Mus musculus: one gene and its partner. The protein of the gene in region 1 interacts with the protein of each later gene in a biochemical or structural test. Links are inferred from orthologs where the notes say so. Each region holds a gene or a part of one and is shown on either strand. Other genes may lie near its edges.

Evidence for each region.
Region 2: the proteins of Cops7a (region 1) and Cops6 form a complex in vitro, tested with the Homo sapiens proteins (3 studies listed by BioGRID, with this or other methods). The link is inferred for Mus musculus from reciprocal best matches to the Homo sapiens genes COPS7A and COPS6.

Annotation. Positions count from the first base shown.
Region 1 is NC_000072.6:124,954,969-124,965,705, forward strand, and holds Cops7a (COP9 signalosome complex subunit 7a), read right to left. Parts: upstream 10,545-10,737; 5' UTR 10,434-10,544; exon of another isoform or gene 10,317-10,433; intron 10,299-10,316; exon of another isoform or gene 10,184-10,298; intron 9,961-10,183; 5' UTR 9,918-9,960; coding exon 9,756-9,917; intron 9,420-9,755; exon of another isoform or gene 9,315-9,419; intron 7,730-9,314; coding exon 7,654-7,729; intron 7,479-7,653; coding exon 7,390-7,478; intron 6,393-7,389; coding exon 6,190-6,392; intron 5,229-6,189; coding exon 5,123-5,228; intron 4,983-5,122; coding exon 4,831-4,982; intron 4,670-4,830; coding exon 4,630-4,669; 3' UTR 3,848-4,629; downstream 1-3,847.
Region 2 is NC_000071.6:138,156,340-138,166,890, forward strand, and holds Cops6 (COP9 signalosome complex subunit 6), read left to right. Parts: upstream 1-4,762; 5' UTR 4,763-4,773; coding exon 4,774-4,843; intron 4,844-5,035; coding exon 5,036-5,158; intron 5,159-5,334; coding exon 5,335-5,466; intron 5,467-5,797; coding exon 5,798-5,886; intron 5,887-5,982; coding exon 5,983-6,045; intron 6,046-6,395; coding exon 6,396-6,443; intron 6,444-6,790; coding exon 6,791-6,905; intron 6,906-6,987; coding exon 6,988-7,080; intron 7,081-7,169; coding exon 7,170-7,270; intron 7,271-7,396; coding exon 7,397-7,537; 3' UTR 7,538-7,645; downstream 7,646-10,551. Other genes in the region: DNA replication licensing factor MCM7, read right to left, coding at 8,380-8,581, 8,713-8,822, 9,571-9,739, 10,344-10,427. UniProt on the Homo sapiens protein: Component of the COP9 signalosome complex (CSN), a complex involved in various cellular and developmental processes.

The DNA of each region.
Region 1 (10,737 bases):
GGCGATGGTGGCGCATGCCTTTAATCCCAGCACTTGGGAGGCAGAGGCAGGCGGATTTCTGAGTTCAAGGCCAGCCTGGTCTACAGAGTGAGTTCCAGGACAGCCAGGGCTACACAGAGAAACCCTGTCTCAAAAAAACAAAACAAAAAAAAGAGAGAGAGAGAAAGGACTGGACAGGGTTGTCCACCCGTCTCTGGAGGAGCACGAGAGGGCTGCAGGTTAACCCTTCTGTGAGCAGGGACTCACCCTGCTGCTCCTCCCAGGATGGCCCATTTCCTCCTCCTCTGCTCTCTCCATTGCAGTCTCCAGTTTGCTTAAAAGCCATATCCTTTGTTGGGTTTTGTTTTGTTTTTTGACCTCAGGCAAGATGTGGCTTCTTGGGCAACCATTTTTTAGCTCTTCCACTATGTCTTAGCACGCAGGCCTTCTTATAACCACACACTTAGCACCAGCGGAAGACAAGTCCTGTCTTGCTCACTTTCCGCACTCAGTCACCTTGACTCACCCCAGATGGTGGCCCAGCCTTTCCCTCTTCTCCAGAGCCCTGCAGTTATCAGCTTCAGTTCCAGGTTATCACTAGTCTGGGCAAGAGTGCTTCCTTCTCAGGACTCCACAGCTTAGACCTGAAAGCCACCGAGGGTGGAAAACACACCCTAGAGATTCTAGCATGTTTAGTGTGTGTATGTGCACAAGTGAGTACCATGTGCATGTGAGTGTACCAAAGTCATAAGACTTTTTTTTTTTTTTTAATTTGAGACAGGGTTTCTCTGTGTAGTCCCAGCTGTCCTAGAACCTGCCTCTGCCTTCCCAGTGCTGGAATTAAAAGGTGTACAGTACCACCATTTGGTTTATGTAGGAACTTGGTTGCTGGTGGCCTCCAGTTAGCACTTTTCATAGTGGCTGCCTATGCTTCCTGCTTTCTCCCACCCTCCTGAAAACAGATTGGGTGGCCCAGTGGTGGAAATGATGGGCTATTACCTTTTATGGTACTGGAGATCAAACCCGGATCAGGCATCTATTCCACTGAGTTACACTCAAGCCTGTTGGCTCACAACTTAATTGCAGCCTTGTGAGAAACACTGAAGTGAGAATTCTTACCATACAACCCCAGCGACAATATGCTGAGGGATTCTGTTTTGAGACAAGGGGTTGCTACGCAGACCTGGGTAGCCTGGTACCATGTAGCCCAGGCTAGCCTCAAACTTGTAGCAATTCTGCCTCAGCGTCTAAATGCAGGGATTGCAGGCACACACCACCATGCCTAGTGAAAATGCTGCCGTAAGCTTCTTACAGTTCAGGCTGGTCTCCCGCACACGGTGACAGAATGCTTTATGTCTTCCTACACTCCACTCTACCAACCCGTTAGACTACTCACCCAAGTGGAGAAAAATCTCCCTCCCACCTAGGAGTCTGTTGCCTTTTAATGTATGGATTTCATGGGATTTTCTTGAGTTGTTATTGTGGACAAGTGTGCGCCTCTGTTCAAGCAAATGCAGGTGCCAATCATTAAACCCTCATGGAGTTGAAGTTACAGGCAGTTGTAAGCCATGTATTATGGGGGTTGGGAATCCACCTTGGGTCCTTTGCAAGAGTAGTATGCACTCTTAAACACTGAGCCATGTCTCCCATCTCTGGAATTTCTGATCTCTAACAGAATTTTATAACTACCACATAGGAAGCTCCAGGTCAGTTTCTGCTATATGGCAAGATCCTGTTTCAAAGGACAAAGGAAAAAACTCTATAAAACACCAACTGTAGGTATGTACCGTGGCGACCCACACCTATAGTCCCAGCACTTGGAGACAGAAGACAGTCCGGAAATCCTTCTCCAACCAAAGCAAACTAAACAGACCGAGCAGAGCAATGGGTGGGGAGCAATTTCCATCACACAGTGAAACCAAAAACCCAGATAAAAAACCTATGGAAACCCAGTACTTTGTAAGCTAATTTCTAGTTTTAAAATTTCAAGGTTTTCTAGGGAGGATCTGGAGAGAGACTCTGCAGTTAGGAGCACTTGCTGCTCTTGCAGAGAACCCAGGTTCTATTCCCAGCACCCACACAGTGGCTCAGAACTCTGTAACTCCAGGTCCTAGTATCTGAGGCTCTCTTTTGGCCTCTGCTGGCACCACTATGGCACACATATGTTGCACAGATAGAAGCAAGCAAACACACACATTAAATTAAAAATTTAGGGCTGGAGAGATGGCTCAGTGGTTCAAAGTGCCAACTGCTCTTCTGAAGGTCATGACTTCAAATCCCAGCAACCACATGATGGCTCACAACCATCCATAATGAGATCTGATGCTCTCTTGTGGTGTGTCTGAAGATAGCTGCAGTGTGCTTACATATAAGTAAATAAATCTTTTTTTTTTTTTTTTAATTTAGCCAGGCGTGGTGGCTCACACCTTTAATCCCAGCACTAGGGAGTAAGAGGCAGGCAGATCTCTATAAGCTCGAGGCCAGCCTGGTCTACAGAGCAAGTTCCAGAACAGCCAGGGCTACACAGAGAAACCCTGTCTTGAAAAACCAAAACCAAAACAGAAACGAAAACCAACTGAGCACTCACTTCTTCCCCAGCAATTATCCTCCCTTCCCCTATGTCCCGGAAGCAGGAGGCCTCCTGGAGCATAAAAACCACACTGCACTGGGCTGTGAGGGACAGGTATCAACAGTCCCCCTCTTCCTTAGGAATAAAGCCAGGCAGAGGATTTTAGAGCTGTTAACTGTAGGCTGGTCTGGAACCAACCTACAAGAAAAGATTTAACTAGATTAAAAGGGATCTGAGGAGTAGCTCAAAACATCAGAAACTGGCGTCGATTTCAGAGGCAAGAGAATCAACTAGCTTATTTCAGAAAGCTAAGAGCCAAGAGTGTAAACTAAATCAAGTTTGGTGGTGCACACCTGTGATCCCAGTGCTCTGCTGGAGGGAAGATGGCATCCTGAATCCAAGGCCATCCTGAAATACAAGACTGTCTCAGAACTACAGTAACAACCCCCAAACACACACACCAAACCACCACCAGGACTTTGCCCCTACTTTCTGGTCTAATGACAGCAAGCTTTGGAAGCAGTTAAGAGTAATTTGTCTATAACCAGGCATGGTGGTTACATGTCTTTAATCCCAGCACTCTGGAGCAGAGGTAGGTAAATCTCTTAAGTTGAGCCAGTCTGATCTACAGAGTGCATTTCAAGAGAGCCAGGGCTATAGAAAGACCATGTCTCGAAGGAAGGAAGGGAGGGAGGGAGGGAGGGAGGGAGGGAGGGAGGAAGAAATTTGTCCTGAATCCCCAGCTAGAAAAAAGCCCAGGCCCAGTCAACACTAGACCCACTAGGCTCTCGGACAGCACTTCACACTTGAGTGAGGGTTCAATTGTGCTTCAAGTTAGTACTTCCTGCCTCTAGGGGCAAGGAGCACTCTAGGCCAATCTCCTGGCATACATACTTCTTGGAAACTCTTTTAATTTGGACAAAAGGGACAGAGACCAACAAATCTAATCGTTTTATGTGCTTTCAATGTCAAAAGTCAAGTTCACTACCAACACCTCCCTTGTGATTCTCTGAGGTGACAGGAAGCAGACCACACTGCAGGTCCTTGGGCAGGACAGTCAGTGATGGTGTCTGCATCTCCATTGTTAGGACATGGCGGTGTTCAGCAGGTGCCCGTGACTGCTGACCATGGGCTGAGGGATGGAGCAATCTGTCCAGGGTCTAGGCCTCCTAGCTGCTAGGCCCAGAGTCTGCAAAGTGTCTGGTTCTTTTCACTTGGCACTTGGCTTTACAGTGGACTGGGGATTAATCTTCTCCCTGTTAACAAACATCAAAGACAGAAGAGGCCCAGTTCCTGGCATTTTTGTACATAGATTTCTCATAGATTTATTTCTGTGTCATGTGTCAATATATATAGACCTATTCATATATATTTTTTATTTTTAATATACAATCTATATTTCCTTCCCCACCAGAACCACAGGAGGAGATATAAATCCTTCCAGGATTTCCATTGGGCTTCCTAAGATGATGAGCAACAAAGAACCATTTCTTAACATCTCAAAAATAGCTGTTCTCAGGCTCTGGGGTCACTGAAGCAGCAGTATCCCCAGGCCCAAGGAGATGAGAGAGGAAAGAAACAATTGTAGTGTGATGGGGTTCTGGGAGGAAAATGTCCAGCGACTCCCAGGGTAGCAGACTGGCTCCAGAACTCTAAGGCTGGAATGAAGGTGGAGACCCCCTTCCCCATGGCTTTTCAGATGCAGCCCACTAGGCAAGGGGAGGAGGAGGAACTGCAGATTAGGCATGCAGGGGTAGGTGTGGGTGGTTAAGAGCCAGCACCCTCCATAGGACTGCCAACCTGCTCAATGACAGGGGTAATGGGCAGACACAGTGCGGAAAAACGATGAGAGCAAGCGTGCTGGGGAAGAGCATGGAACACATAAGAGGTACCAACAGAACATGACCTGCACTGGCCTCCTCCCTACAGAGGGTGTGGCTTATGCTTGGGGGTGGAGGAGATGAAAAGTAATGAACTAGCATTATCAGCTGGCCAGGGGCACAGGAAGGCTCTGAGGACTCCTAAGGGGTAGGCAGGTAGGCAGCTGGGACCCCACATTCCCAGGGAAGAAACAAGTCCTTTCAGTTCGACTTGGACCAAATCTTGGCGCTCCCTCGGAGTCTGGCAAGGGGAAGAGAGAGAGAGGGGATGCAAGGGGTCCCCTAATTCCTAGAGGACACCCCCACTCCCGACCCCATGCAAATGACTAAAGCAGTGGAGCAGCCAGGTCCCTGAGGTAAAAGTGGGGTACCCAGAGACAAGTGGCTCCCGCATGGGCTCACCCCTTGCCCTTGGAGGCTTTCTTGCTGGGCTGGCGCTGGTTGGTGCCAGAAGCTGGTTCTCTCAGCTCTGTCAGGTGTTGCTCAGGATCCTGGGAGGTGGCTGCAGCAGCAGCTGCTGTCGTAACTTTAATGGTTTTCTTAAGGTTGGCAACCTATCAGGATGAAAGGAATGAGGGATAGCCAAAGGAGGTTCTGGAACCGGACGGGCCCTGATGATTTTATCAGTCGGCCTCAGCCCCATCGCAGCCCGAGTACCCAGGCTGGGGAGCTGCAGTCCATCCTGTCTGCTCACCTCACTTTCGATCTGCTGCTTCAGGCCCAGCTGCTGCTCCTTGTGCTGGTTGGCACGGCTGACCTGCTCTTCGATGCCCGACAACACAACCTCACAGCCCACGCACCTGTGGGAAGCAGGCAGATGAGAAGTCAGCAGGAGGCGGCAGTCATCACAGCCTCATAAAAACAAAGCAAACAAAAGCAAAAGTCTCAAAAGCTGGCCTCTAGGCTGGACTGAAAACCCTCGCCTGAGCTGGCAGCTCTCGCCAGGGCACCTGGGAACTAGCTACAACAGAATTCTTTTTTGTTTTGTTTTTGAGACAGGGTTTCTCTGTGTAGTCCTGGCTGGCCTGGAACTCACTCTGTAGACCAGGCTGGCCTCGAACTCAGAAATCCGCCTGCCTCTGGCTCCCAAGTGCTGGGACTAAAGGCGTGAACCACCACGCCCGGCTACAACAGGATTCTTTCTCCTCAGCAAACCCCAGGGCAGGAGAAGAAAGGGATAAGCAAGTGTCCTGGACAAGGTGGGTGGGGGTGGAGTGCTCGGAGAAATGGCTCAGGGGTGGAAGCTGCACTCACACTCACCTATAACCCCTCTACCTCTCTATCACACACACATAACTAAAAAGAAATCAAAATAACAAGATGAGAGCAGGAACCAGAAAACAAAACGGGAGAGTCAGGCATGGTGGGTACAGCAGCACACACCTGTAAGCTTAGAACCAGGAAGCAGAGGCAAGATTTCCAATTCAAGGCCAGCTTGGGGTACACAGTGAGATCACAATGAAGTTACACAGGGATACAAAGAAGAGAAGAGACCCATCGCGGCCCCTGGTGTTATTATGTGCAGTTGCCCTAAACTCAGCGTATGACAGTGACAAGCCTCCAGCTAGTCAAGAGCACAGCTCCATTCCTTTGCCCAGTTCCTGCCCAACAACCCTGACTCTGCGCCCAGGGCCCCCTTAGAGCCTCTGTCCCCTCAGAAACCCTGAGGAGAAAGCACTCTCCTAGGCTCCCCCTCCCCAGCCAGTCCCTGCTCTCCTGCTTGTATAAGGGAGGGTCAAGGCCTGACAAGTAAGTTCTCACCACTCTTGCAGGGTCTGGGCGATGGCACTGAGGTCCTGGCGCTGGATGTCCCGCCCGATGCTGTAATCAACCTCTAGCCGCTGATTGCGCTGGTCCAGAGAGCCACGAAGGACATCAGCATACACAGCCTCGATCACAAGGTCTTCCAGCTGGCGCACGTTTCGAAGGGCAAGGGCCTCCAGCAACACTGCATATGGGATACACTGGGTCCAGAGGTTAGACCGGAATTTGTGGGGTTCAAAAGCAGAGGAGGATTTCCCAGAATCCTCTTCCAGTTTTTCCCCAATGTCCAGGCCCACATCCCTCCACTCCTATCCGTAAGCCATTTTCTGGAAAATGTTGGTTCTAAAGCAAAACCCTATTACGGCCTCAAAAACATCACCAGAAAAGAATAATCTTCCTTCCTTTTCTTTCATGGCGTTCTGACACAGGGTCTCATTCTATAGCCCAGGCTGGCTTGGAACTCATTATGTAGTCCAGGCTAGACTTGACCTCACATTAATCCTTTTGCTTCAGAGTCCCAAGCGCTGGGCCGACATGAGACACGGCACCAGACTCAAAAAGGACAATCCAAAAACATGTGGTAGATGCTCTCCTATGCCCACCTCCCACTATATAGTGAAAGAACGAGTGTGACATCTTCCTGGTGCCATTTCTTTGGCTGTAGCTAAGGAAACTGTTTTTGATCAGCTTGACATCAGAGGATAGATAGGAGGGGTCTGGAGTTTCTGTTTATCATGTTGACTTAGCCATGTTACAAACTGGAATGACCTTGGGGAAGAATCTACAACCACAAGCCTAATTCCAGCAAAAATCACCAGGACTCAATTCTAGTTAACAACTGGGAGAATGTGATATAAAAAGTCTGTGCCCACAGGGGCACACAGGTACTGTAGGTCACACACATCTTACTATAGTAAGTAGAGAAGGACCCCAGTTCTAGCTCTGAGGCTCTGTTGGCCTGGAACTCCATCTGATGAATGAGCCGGCCAGCCTTCTAGTGGCTATTTTTACCCCAATCACAAAAGACGATGACTTAGAACTTCAGTTCAAACTGACAGACTCCTAACTAAGTGACTGCAGAAATGGAGTTTCAGTTCAGACCCAGACAGGGGAGGCCAATGGCTCTCCTTAGACTCCCTGGATTCACAACAGGTCGTCTCTGGCTTTGGACTGGCAGCTGGCAAGGCTGTCACTTACCTTGACTTTGGCAGCCAGAGTGACAACTGACAGATGTCGAAGCTTATTCTTCTGTGCGTCAGTCAGTGGGGGGAGATTCCTGGCTTCAGCTAGAGACAGGGAGAGAAGCCCGGGAATCTTGTTTTTAGCAGTTTCCTACAAGTTTTCTGTACCAATTATGGTCTAACACTGCAGAGGTTCACTTATGGCATCGTAGTAGGTATTTCTTCCAAGTCTCTCCAGAACCACCCTTCTCCTGTCTCCACAGCTCTGGCCCCTATTTACCTAAGTAGTCCGCATAGGTCCCATAGGCAAACACTGTGAGCAGCCGGAAGGTGGAGGCAAAGTCGCTTTCTGCCAGCTGCAAGAACGTGAGGGAGGAAGTGACAAGAAGGCCCTGATCTTACCCCATCCATCCCAACAGTACCTATCCTGGTCCCTCAGCTGCTCATCTCTACTCTGGCCCTTTGCTGCGCTAAGCAGCTAATTCCTACTCTCAGAGCTTAAAACTTTCAGTGTTGTGACTATTACAGGTGCACACGCGTACACCAGACATCGTAAACTGTGTGGCCCCCAGAGGGTATAGTGTGGCCACTGCTTCGCAATGTCCTCATAGTGAGGGCTTACTTCATCCACAGCATCTCCCTTCCTGTCACCCCCACTTATCCTGGCATACCATCCCTGTAGGTTCTCACTTAACAGTCTTTTAACAAGGCATTAGACCCAGCAGAGCTGCAGCCCTCGCAGTAAATAACTGATAAATGGCTGACTTGCTGACATATATTTTCATTCACTTATCTGATCTCTTTCACTGGCATCTACTTCATCCTAACGATATACTTCAGTTTACTGTGGATAAAATCAGCAACAAAAGCCAGTGTTTTGTAAAACAGCAGTCAAAGTAACTTTCTATCCTGATTCAACCAAAGGTCTTCTAATGCTTGGCTCAGTTTAGCCACACACTTCGGTCAGGCTCTCGTGACAGGCTGGTGTCACGAGAGTGGCAATCCACCTGCTCTATGCTTTCTAAGTTCTTGACGCAGCCATTTCTGTGAGTGGTTCTCATTACTGTGTTCATAGCTTTGCTACCGTCTTAGGGCAGAAGACAGCATCTTCATTTTCTACCTTAAATGAATCAGAATGTGTGACACTTTGGGGGTGGGGTGGGGTACCATGGCATAATTCAATATGCTCATTCTTTCTGATTTCAGGGGACTTTAGACTTCCCCACAATGTTACTTCTGTAACCGTGAAGGGAACTGTGTGCTTTTTTAGGTTTTTCCTCATTGCAGTTCTGAGAACTGAACCTATACTGAGCCTTGCAAACTACAGACAAGGGCTCTTTCACTGAAAAGACCCCCACTCCTTTTTGAGATGGAGTCTAAGTTGCCCACGCTGATCTAAAAAGTTGTGGTCCCCTATCTCAGCATCCCAAGTTCCGAAATCGAAGCCAAGGCCTCACAAGTGCTAAGCAACTACTCTATCAGCAGTTAGATTCTCACCACCATTTTAAAGAGAAAACTGAGGGTTTTCTGATCCAGGTTTTCTGACTTATTTTGTTTTTAAGATAGGGTTTCTCTGTGTAGCCCTGGCTGTCCTGGAACTCAATCTGTAGACCAGGCTGACCTACAACTCAGAGATCCAACTCTTTCTACCTCCCAAATGTTAGTGACAGGATTATTAAGAGGTATCACTAGGCAGGCATGGTAGCACAAGTCTTTAATCCCAACACTCGAGAGGAAGAGGCAGAGGATCTCTGAGTTGAAGGCCAGCCTGGTCGACAGAGAGAGTTCCAGAACACAGTTATAGTACATAGAGAAACCCTGTCCTGAAAAAAAAAAAAAAAAAAAAACCAACACAAAAAGATATCATACTGGTGGACAAGCTGGAGTTTATCAGTGGTATTCTTAATGACTTGTTCTTTTGCTTCAAAATTAAAGATTTCTGCTTGCTTCAGCAACACATATACTAAAACTGGAACGATCCCGAGAAGATTAGCATGGCCCCTGAGCAAAGACGACACTCCAATTTGTAAAGCGTTCCATATTTTTAAATAACAAAAAAAATTATGCATGAGACATAGGCAGGGATTTCCCACACATTCAAGGCCACCTTAGACCATAGTTACTAGTTTAGGGCAGCCAGGACTACACAGTGAAATCCTGACTCAAAGTGTGGGTACAGAGGGAGGGAGCACTAAGTTTACAGACCCTTTATCTGTAAGATAATGAAGACCTTTATTTGATTGATTTATTTTTCCATGTTGAGAGCTAATTATCGGTACCCCGATCACCTGAGTGGTTACTGGGTACAAAAAACGAGCCCAGCACTCAAGAGTTAACTTTGGTCCCAACGTTCTTTGGGGACTACCCAGGCAAGCAACACACCTCTCTAACATTAGGCATATCCAGCAGTTCCCCAAACACGTAGACACCAGGGGCCTCCAGCACCTGGTGGATGAGTGTGGCCAGTGCCGCCCCCTTAGCCGACTTGGCAAGGAGCAGAAACTGCTCTTGGTTCTGCCCTGTCACCTTCACCTCCGCACTCATGGCTGCGCCGAGGTGCGGGGCTCTGGCCTCAAGATTTCTGGAGCTGCAAGGAAAGAGGAACGTGAAACTAAAGGTCCCTGGACCCTGCGAGGGTGGTCAGCTCGAAGGGACGGGAGCTGCACGCTCAAGAGGGACCCCGCCACATCCGCAGTGAGTAAGTGGGGTCCTGAGGTCTAAAAGGCAACTCGAGGGCTCCTCCAAGCCAGCCCCATCCTGGCTGCCACGCCCACCCGCTCCGTCATCCCGGGCCCAGTCCCAAGCCCCACCACGTGCACCCCATTGAGTTCCAAGACTGATGAACCAGGGAAGGGAGAGATAGCACATGGTGTCTACCGGACGACGACGAACCCCCACTTCGGGACGCGAGTCGTGCACGTGGCCGCCCCCACGTGACCTCACCTCCTCGCGCCTGACTCGCGGCTCCACCCCCTCCCTTAAAGAGGCAGCCCCGGGACCGGCCGGGGTCTGCGCCCAAGGCCAGGTCGTACCCCCGGACCGACTGCAACCGACGGCTACCTGGAAGCCTCGTCTCCCAGCGCACGGGGCGGGGCGGCCGCTCCGTCACCTCCGGCAGCGGCTCCCAAGCCTTTCCTGCCACCTCCCCGCAGGGCCGCTCTAGCCGCTCGCTTCTATGGCCAGCTTCCGGCCGTACTTCCGCTCTCGGGAGGCGGGTTCCGGGCGGCTCCGGCCTGCTTCCGTTTCCGGACCGCGGGAGGCGCGAGAGCGGCGCCCATCTTCCGCTCTGTCCGTGCATCTTTATGGGTGCGAGAGCGGTGAATGCAGGGTGCGGAGAGGACCTCGGCTCTGCGGAGGTCCGGGG
Region 2 (10,551 bases), on another chromosome or scaffold:
TTACAGATGGTTTTGAGCCACCATGTGGTTGCTGGGATTTGAACACAGGACCTCCGGAAGAGCAGTCAGTGCTCTTAACCACTGAGCCATGTCTCCAGCCCCCGTTTTTGTTTTTTTTTTTTTTTTGTTTTTTTGTTTTTTTTTTTTTACTCATCAATTTTTCTTTAATTATTTTGAACATTCTCACTAATTAAGAAAATATTTTATTTCAAAACTTCTTATAGTAGAAAAAAGGATTACCTTTTTAACATGATTTCTCCACTGCTTGATAAGTATAATAGTTATATTTTTAAAATTTGGAATTTATGTTGGTGCTAATGATATTATATCCAAAATAGCACCATGGGTTTTTTTTTAAAGCACTCAGCACTCAGTTTTTAAAAGATTTATTTTAACCAGGCAGTGGTGGTGCACGCCTTTAATCCCAGCACTTGGGAGACAGAGGCAGGTAGATTTCTGAGTTCGAGGCCAGGCTGGTCACAGAGTGAGTTCCAGACAGCCAGGGCTACATAGAGAAACCCTGTCTCAAAAAAAGCAAGACAAAAAATTATTTTAATAGATTTAATATTTATTTGAAGATTTAGTATTTTAATGAGTGTTTTTCTCCTGCATACACACACACATACACACACACCTGATTCAGATATAGGTCAGATGAAGCCATCACATCTTCTGGAACTGGAGTTACGGTAATGAGTGGCCATATGAGTGCATGGAATCTGGGTCCTCTGGAAGAGCAGCCAGTACTTTTTTTTTTTTTAAAGATTTACTTATTATTATTATTATATCTAAGTACACTGTAGCTGTCTTCAGATGCCCCAGAAGAGGGCGTCAGATCTCATTACAGATGGTTGTGAGCCACCATGTGGTTGCTGGGATTTGAACTCAGGATCTTCGAAAGAGCAGTCAGTGCTCTTAACCACTGAGCCATCTCTCCAGCCCACAGCTTTGCTTTTAGATTGCTTGACTAGCCTGGCTGAAGCCCTGGGTCCCCATCCCCAATGGTGCATAAACCAGACAATATGGTACAGTACTGTATTCCTAGCATTTGGGAGGTGGTGGCAGGAAGATCAAGGACTCAAGTTCGTTCTTCAGTACATACTGAGTTCAAAGCCAGCTTGGGCTACATGAGACACATAAGTGATTCTGCACTTACGAGCCTGACGTGGGGTACACATCTGTAATTGCAGTACTTTAGAGCCTGAAACAGAAAGATAGTCAAAAGTTTGAGGCCAGCCTCAATTGCACACTAAAACTCGGTCTCAAAACAAATGATAATAATTAACAAACACATATTTAAAATGAGCTTCCTATAAAGGCTCACATTTGGGGTTCAAGAGGTACCCTGAGACATATTGTGGTTTGGGGGTAAACAATTTATTTTAAGCATTATTAATGCTACAGAGATTGTGCTGGAAGTTGTGAAGAGATTTCAGGCCGGGAGACTAACAGGAGTAAGGAGTACTATTGCATCTTACAGGTTTTAGAGAGGTAGGTAACCCCATTCCATGTCATGAATGACTAGTCAATAGTACACGATAGAGGCACGCACTCTTATTCCAGGACTGGAGTTCATTTCCCAGTACCCATGTCTGTACACTCACAACCACCTATGACTCTAGCTCCAAGGGAAAGAGGAAAAGTTTGTTTCTTTAGCTAATGCGTGTCTATCATATGAGATGTGCCGCCTGTAACCGCCGATTGCTGGGGTTTGGTGCACCGCCTTAGGGGAAGTGAGGATTGCAGACTGGTCAGAGTTTATTTTTTATTTTTTGCAGAAGCTGTGAGGATGAAGAAAGAGGCTCTGCAAGTCAGTATAGCCTGACTAGTCCTAAGCCCAAGCCTAACATGTTCCAATAGACTCTTTTACTTAGTCAATTAATTAATTAAACAGGGTATCATTCTGAAACTCTAGCTGTCCTCTGACCTATGCTGGGGTATGCACATTATACACACACATACACACACACTTACACACTCAAAATAGAGTAAAAAACAAAGGTGTTCTTCTATACACTATTATTGTTTTGTTTTTCTTTCTTTCATTCGTTTTGTTTGTTTGTTTGTTTGTTTGTTTGTTTGTTTTTCGAGACAGGGTTTCTCTGTGTAGCCCTGGCTGTCCTGGAACTCACTCTGTAGACTAGGCTGGCCTCGAACTCAGAAATCCTCCTGCCTCTGCCTCCCAAGTGCTGGGATTAAAGGTGTGCCCCACCACACCCAGCTTGTTTTGTTTTTCGAGGCAGGGTGTCTTAGTCAGGGTTTCTATTCCTGCACAAACATCATGACCAAGAAGTAAGTTGGGGAGGAAAGGGTTTATTCAGCTTACACTTCCACATTGCTGTTCATCACCAAAGGAGGTCAGGACTGGAACTCAAGCAGGTCAGGAAGCAGGAGCCGATGCAGAGGCCATGGAGGGATGTTCTTTACTGGCTTGCTTCTCCTGGCTTGCTCAGCCTGCTCTCTTATAGAACCCAAGACTTCCAGCCCAGAGATGGTCCCACCCACAAGGGGCCTTTCCCCCTTGATCACTAATTGAGAAAATATCCCACAGCTGGATCTCATGGAGGTACTTCCCCAACTGAAGCTCTTTCTCTGTGATAACCCCAGCCTGAGTCAAGTTGACACATAAAATCAGCCAGTACACAGGGTTTCTCTGTGTAGCCCTGGCTGTTCTGGCATTTGGTTTGTAGACCAGGCTGGCCTCAAACTCCAGAGATCTGCCTGCCTCTGCCTCCGGAGTATTAGGACTACAGGTGTGTTCCACCACTGCCTGACTTTTTAATACATTATTAAAATCTGCAAAAAAAAAAAAAAATCATTCCAAGACAGATGAAGGGAACCCAGCTTTCCTTGAGCTCTAGACAGGGGTTGAGTGTTTTAAGAATATTGTTAAATTGCTGTTAGCACTAATGATGACCTTCCCTTCCTTCAGTTTTTCCTCTAATGGAAATCTCTTTAGGTTTATAGTATAAAAACTCCCAAGGTTTATTTTCATGTAACTAACCAAAGACATTGGGAATAGGGCAACTTAACTATCTAATTATCATCTATTGTACCCATCTCTCTCACTGTCCAGGCTGCCCTGAGGAAAAGGACTGTCAGTCTCATAAGTTAGCTAGATGACCCTTAGACTAGCACCAGCAATCTGGGACACACAACAGAAGTCTTGAGACAGCTGTGTAAAGATTGAAGCTGATTTTCCAGTGTATTTGACATAGTTGTTACCAGATATTTTGCTGTCATAGACCCCTATGAAATGTAGATGAACCTGAAAGCATTTCCAGCGTGACAGGAAGGGAGCCCTTTCCCTAGTGGAAGGACTACTGCGAATCAGTGCAAAGCCATGATTGGTCCAAAGCACATACTTCAGTGACTGTGATTAGTAAAAAAAATAAATAAATAAAAATAAAAAGTAGCCCGGGCGGTGGTGGCGCACACCTTTAATCCCAGCACTTGGCAGATTTCTGAGTTCAAGGCCAGCCTGGTCTACAAAGTGAGTTCCAGGACAGCCAGGGCTATACAGAGAAACCCTGTCTCGAAAAACCAAAATAAAAATTTAAAAAAATGGCTGTTATTGGCCCCAAATGAATGATTGTGGACCAAATACTCTTTCTTGGCTATTTAAGCAGGTCGCTTAGCCTTAGTTATTGTCCAAGTAGGAAACGTTTTCTTTTATTTTTATTTTTATTTTTATTTTTTTTATTTTGGAACTCACTCTGTAGACCAGGCTGGCCTCGAACTCAGAAATCCGCCTGCCTCTGCCTCCCAAGTGCTGGGATTAAAGGCGTGTGCCACCATGCTGGGCAAGTAATTGTCTTTTTTTTTTTTTTTTTTTTTTGGTTTTCTTTTTTGTTACAAGTAATTGTCTTAATCACTGTTCTATTGCTGTAAAGAGACACCATGACCAAGGCAACTCTTCCCCTCCCCCCACCTTTTTTTTTTTGTTTGTGCGACAGGGTTTGTTTGTGTAGCTTTGGCTGTGATGGAACTCACTTTGTAGTCCAGGCTGGCCTTGAACTCATGAGGTCTGCCCGCCTCGATTAAAGGCTGTGATTAAAGGCGTGGGCCACAAGCCCTCCCAATAGCAGTTGCTAAGTTGTGTAAAGAGGTTGTCTTGAAACTGAAGAAGCTGAACAATTCAAGAGTAATTACTACTGGGGAGATGGCTCAGGGGATGAAGTGTTAGGACCTGAGTTTAGATCCTCAGTACATCGTTTTAAAAGCTAGGCATGCTGGGTATGGTACACACCTTTAATCTCAGCATTCAGGAAGGAGAGGAAGGCGGATCTCCTAGAAGTCTGCCTAGACGAATAGCAAGTTCCCACCAGCTGGCCAACATTGTAAGACCCTATCTCAACAAACAAGTGATCAAGTCTCTATAGATTATATGCAACATGAAAAATTTTATATCCTGAATAAATTGTCTTCCCCATTCCCTTTTACAGCCTTTCCTCCTTTTGATCGCAATTTTCTCTGTGTTTAGTATTGACAGTGTATCCACTTGAGACCTGGAAACTAATAGCCCTCCTTGGGAGGTAAAGGCAAGAGGATCAAAGTTCAAAGCCATCTTCAGATACACACTACAGAACTCATGGCCAGGCTGGTTTACATGAGAACCGCTAGCAGCAGCACAACACGCAGAGCACCCTGAGCTACTAAGTACTGGCAGCTGCCCCGCCCATTAGCAGCACCAAGTATACACTGAGCATGCACCGCTCCCCGACGGAAGCCGAGAAGGAAAGGGGCGGGCCGTGGCTGGCGGGCGCGGGGAAAATGGCGGCGGCAGCTGCGGCGGGGGCGAATGGGAGCGGAGGCAGCAGCGGCATGGAAGTGGATGCAGCAGGTAACGGGGTGCGCAGACCGACTTCTGGAGTTGCCCTTGAGAAGTGGTCTTGAGTACTTCTTAAACCTGTCCCAGGATAACTTGAGGGCAGCGATGGACGGCCGGGCTCTGCTGGTCCCCTGCTTCCATGTCTAGGGGAAAATGTGTGGGCCCGAGCTCTCAGCCGCTATGTTTTCCTTTCACCTTTAACAGTCCCCAGCGTGATGGCCTCCGGAGTGACTGGGAGTGTTTCCGTCGCTCTTCATCCCCTTGTCATCCTTAACATCTCAGACCATTGGATCCGCATGCGCTCCCAGGAGGGGCGGCCTATGCAGGGTGAGTGTTGTGTGTAAATCTCAAAATCTCTTGGAGATTTCCTCCAGTCACTCCCCTGCGCCCTTTCTTCCAAATTATTGTTTCCCCAGTCGTTGATTCACGCCGACTCGGGAAAGGTTTTCCGAGACGCCTGTTCCTCACCTAGTTTCCTTGCGCTTCTGTTTCTCTCCCCTTAGTGATTGGGGCTCTGATCGGGAAGCAGGAGGGGCGAAATATCGAAGTGATGAACTCCTTTGAGCTGCTGTCCCACACCGTGGAAGAGAAGATTATCATTGACAAAGAATATTATTACACCAAGGAGGAGCAGTGTGAGAGGGGAATAGAAGTGGGTGGGGAAGGAAAAGTGGGAAGATTTTTGTTTTGTTTTGTTTGTCTTAAAGAATAAAAGGCCTGAGGATGTAGGGCAGTGGGGTAAAGTGCATTTCCTAACATTCGGGAAGACCAGAGTTCAATCCTCAGTACCATATAACCCAGGAGATAGAGGCAAGAGGTCAGAAGTTCAAGGTTAGTTAGGTGTAGTTATTTTAAACTGACCCAAAATATGAGGAGGGAGGGGAGAACCGGAAAGAACACACCAGGCCCATCAAACTAAGGAAGAGAGGTTTAAAGGAATATTTACTCTGGCCCCTTCTTCTCCAGTTAAACAGGTTTTCAAGGAGCTGGAGTTTCTGGGTTGGTATACCACAGGGGGGCCACCTGACCCCTCAGACATCCACGTCCATAAGCAGGTATAGAAGCTCAAATATGTGCATGTTGGGGAAATGAACAGAAGGTTAGGGGAAGAGGAGATACTGACTCTTCCTGGGCTTTGCCTTATCTTCTAGGTGTGTGAGATAATTGAGAGTCCGCTCTTTCTGAAGTTGAACCCTATGACCAAGCACACAGATGTGAGTGTTGTTGACCCAATGTCCCCTTTTTCTTGATCATCTGCCACTATGCCTTTGCTCTAATTTACCGACATTATGTGTATTAGAGAAAGCTTGAGTTGAATCTCTACCCTGCTGTTTACACCCATCAGTTGTGTGACTTCATCTCTTCAGTGGTGTTTCCATATGTAATGTGTGTAAAACCTAGAGAAAGCATGAGCCAAGTGTGGTGACAACACTTGTAACCAATCTTAGCACTCAGGAGATTGAGGCAGGATTGTGAGTTCAAAGCCAGCCTGGCATGTGTGTAAGTTCAAGTGCATTTGCTTTTAGTAAGAGCTGTTCTCTTGTCTCCGTCTGTGTTTTTACAGCTTCCTGTCAGCGTTTTTGAGTCTGTCATCGATATAATCAATGGAGAGGTAATATATAACCTGCAACCTTCAAACCTTTTAGCCTGTTTCCTGCATGCCGTGTGCAGGCATAGGACAACCCTGGGTGTCCATCCTAGCTTTCTACCTTGGGACAGACTCACTTGTTTGCCAGGCAGGTTGGCCTGTGAGCTTCTGGGAATTGTGTCTCCACTTCCCATCTTGCTGTAGGGGTTCCAGGATTACAGTCACATGCTGTCACATCTCACTTAATGTGGGTTCCGAGGCTCTAAATTGAGATCCTCAGTTGTGCAGCAAGTACTCTACCTGCTGAGCCATCTGCCTAGGCCTAGGTCTGTTTCCTGACTCTCCCTATCTGAGAACTCTTTACTCTGCAGGCCACAATGCTGTTTGCTGAGCTCACTTACACTCTGGCCACTGAGGAAGCTGAACGGATCGGTGTAGACCACGTGGCCCGGATGACAGCAACAGGCAGTGGGGAGAACTCCACTGGTAAGGGAGGGGAATTCAGTCTTTGGAGGTAGGGGTTGGGTGTGGCCACAGGCCGCCCTTCATTTGCCCCATTCCCCTGCAGTGGCTGAACACCTGATAGCTCAGCATAGTGCCATCAAGATGCTGCACAGCCGTGTGAAGCTCATTTTAGAATATGTCAAGGCCTCTGAAGCAGGTAGGAGAGGTGCCTGTCACTTTGAAACATTTTTCCTCTCCTGGAAAAGTGACAGCATCCACATCAGTGCAGCCTCCTTGTGTCCTTAGGAGAGGTTCCCTTCAACCATGAGATCCTGCGGGAGGCCTATGCCCTATGTCACTGTCTTCCAGTTCTCAGCACTGACAAGTTCAAGACAGACTTTTATGATGTGAGTGTTGACACCTTTGATGGGGAGGTGGGGCTCACACCACCTCACAGGTAGGAGGTGAAACTCAAGTGTCACTGGCTAATACGAGGGACCCCTGGGGAACTGGTTCTTTGTGTTCCCTCCCAGCAATGCAATGACGTGGGGCTCATGGCCTACCTCGGCACCATCACCAAAACGTGCAACACAATGAACCAGTTTGTGAACAAGTTCAACGTCCTCTACGACCGACAAGGCATTGGCCGGCGAATGCGGGGACTGTTTTTCTGATGATGGTTCTGGAAGGGATGGTGTGTGGGGCTCAGACAGCTGTTCCATGGACCTGAGTACCACATTCCCTTTAGAGAAACTCATTAATAAAAGAGCAGCCCCTTAGCAGCCCTTCCAGTGGCTTTGTCCTCTCAGGCACCACACTGGTTTCTCAACATGGACTCTTAAGGAAGCTTCACCCATTAATCCACATTTTTTGACCACCTACCCACCTTTTAATGACTCGAGGTGACCCCTTGTTGAAGTAGACAAAATGTGATAGGACGACCTGCTTGCTTCCAGTTTTTGTGCTCTGTGATCAATTCATGTCACAGCTCCACAGAAAGATTGCTTTCCCAGGCTAATTTAATTTCACTGCAAATGTTTCTCAAATAGGAAGGGGAGGGAAGCTGAATTCCATCTTTGTAATTGTGGTTATCTCAAGTCCTTGTTTTTCTATATCCTGAAGGTACCTAGGAGGGTGATATGTACCTCATCCTTAGGCCTTCCACTTAAGTCATACCTTGTGCTAGGCGCAACTTTCTGCCCTTCACATCCTGGTGTCATCACGTCTAGATGTGGGGGTCTAACAAACGAAATGTCCATAATTGGAAGCATCTCAAGAAACAGTGGTCCCAAGGCCTTCTATCTCCCAGATTGACTAGCACATAGTAAGGGTCAGTACTAGAGACTAGGGGAGGAGAGAGCATACTAAAAACTCTACAGAGTTATTAACAAGCAAGAGGCAATCAAAACACTTTATTGGCAGAATAAAAAAGTGCAGCATGGGAGAATGAGATTTTTTCTTGAGGGGGCATTCAGCATGCCCTCTGGTGTAGGCAGGAGGGTGTAAAAACTGGCTATCAGACAAAGGTGATCCGTGTCCGAGAAGTATTAACCTGCCAGACATTTAGCTCCTCATATTCATCCAGAGCTGCCTGGAACTGGGCTGGTGTGAAGCCACGAGATATGCAGCGCTGTTCAGCCTCAGAAAAGTGGACACTCCGCCCCCGTGACACCAATTCACGGATGGTGGCAAATATCACATCTGCTGGCCTCTGGGTCCTAAAAGACAAGGATGGAAAAGGTGAAGGTGCAAGGCCACAAACAGTAGCAGCAATCAGCATCAAAACCCTGAGGGCAAGCCAGGTCAATAAGCCCAGTGGTCCAGTCTCACTCTTCATTAAAATCCTCACCTAGCTGTCTGTCCCTTTTCACCTAGAAGGGAGTCCTTCGACATCTCCATCAACCTTATGGCTTCATTTACATCTTCCTTCTCCACAATGTCTACCATCCGAAGTCGAGCCTAAGGGGAAGGCATAGAAAAGATTGGGATAGGAGGGGAGGAGGGGAATGAAGTCAAGGATCTTTCTTTGCTCCAGCTTCAAGCCTGGGCAAGCCACATTTGCCTACTCATTGAACAAAAATGGGGACTCCTCCCTGCCCCCCCACATCTGCAGTGTTGGGCCGGCACTGTCAGACCGAGACAAGTGCAATGCCCAGGGCAGCGTCCAGCAATTGCCCAAGTCTCCGCCTCTCAACACTGGCCAGTCCCGGTGGGTGTTCAGCTGTCCTGTGAGGGAGACCAGACCCTTCTGAACTCCACTAGGCTCCCCATCAAACAAATGGAGCCTGGGGCGCTCAGCTAGGGCCACTATCAGAGGTTGTGTCCTGGGGGCTCGGGAAGTGCTAGCTCAGCAGTAGGTCAGGTAATTACACTACCTGCACGAACAGCACTTTGGAGCCCCCATGACTAAGGTCCAAGAGGGGAGGACAGAATGGAGATTTCTAAGATCATATCTAGGACACCAGGAATTCAAGTCCTAGCCCTCATGGATTCAAGCAGCAAGCAGCCTTTCCCTCCATGGGCGTTGCACGTGCCCTGCTGGAGCAGCAAGTACCCACAGTGCGGTAGCACAGAGAGGACCACTATCTGCACTGTCAGCACTTTAGTCCCAGCAGGGCTGGTAGGAGGGAAGGAGGCGGCTTGAGGGTCATTAGGTGAGGTGGCAGGCAGGGGTCAGCTTTCCAGCTGACAGGGACCCACCACTCACCAGAGCAGTGGAAAGTCGGAGAATGGCCAGCAGGGTCCGGGCAGAAGTATAGGTGGCATCCTTACTGGCCCGGGCCTCTCGCCTCATCTCCACATATGCTGCGGTGATGTAGTCAGCCAGAGATTCAGGCACTGTGGGCTGTCTCTCGTGGCACATGGCTATGTACCGTCTGTGGGAAACAAGGTTCATGGGAAAGCGGGAAAGCAGGCAGGCTTTATGAGATTCCCCACTTAATATTCTATGCTGACGTGGACAGTGAGGGATTTCTCCAAAACAGGGCTGCCAGGACACTTCAAGTAACTTCCAACTTTTCAGGAGAATGACATTTACCAAAGCACCTGTAGTGGGAGGATTTAACTTAACCCCTTGACAGACTTCAGAGACCATGTGAAAACCAGTTTAGAAACCCGAGTCATCTGTGCCATGGAAGCACTTATGGCCAAAAAGCTAGACCTGCCTCGGACAGGATTTAGAGAGTGAGAGAGGTTCCTTTATATACAGGAGGGAAGTAGTTTTTGGAGACATCCCCAAAATGACTCAGGTTTCAGAGTAGCTAGGATTATATAAGGCCTGCTGCTCTGTCATCCCAAAACAGAAAAAAAGTTTCTGATGATCCCTTGGCTACAGAGAGACCCAGGCTCAGCTACTTTTGAGGCTGAAATAGATAAGCAGATGAGTCCTTTCAAGACTCAATGCTTTCCAGACACACTTGGCATAAGACAATGCCACAGACCAGTACTCTCCCCAGACATACCCATCTCCACCCCTCCTACCTCATAAGTTTCATGTCCAAAGGTTCAAATTGGGCAGGGGGCTGCCGGCTGTGCTGGTGGACATAGGTGATGTGCTGGGCCAACCTGGAGAGAAGACGGGCGTCAGTCTTTAGAGCTCTAACACCCTGAGAATCTTGACTCAGTATCCCCTTTTAGCACCACCTCTTCTCCAAAGCATGGCAGACAGGCCTCCCAGAAAACCCTCAAG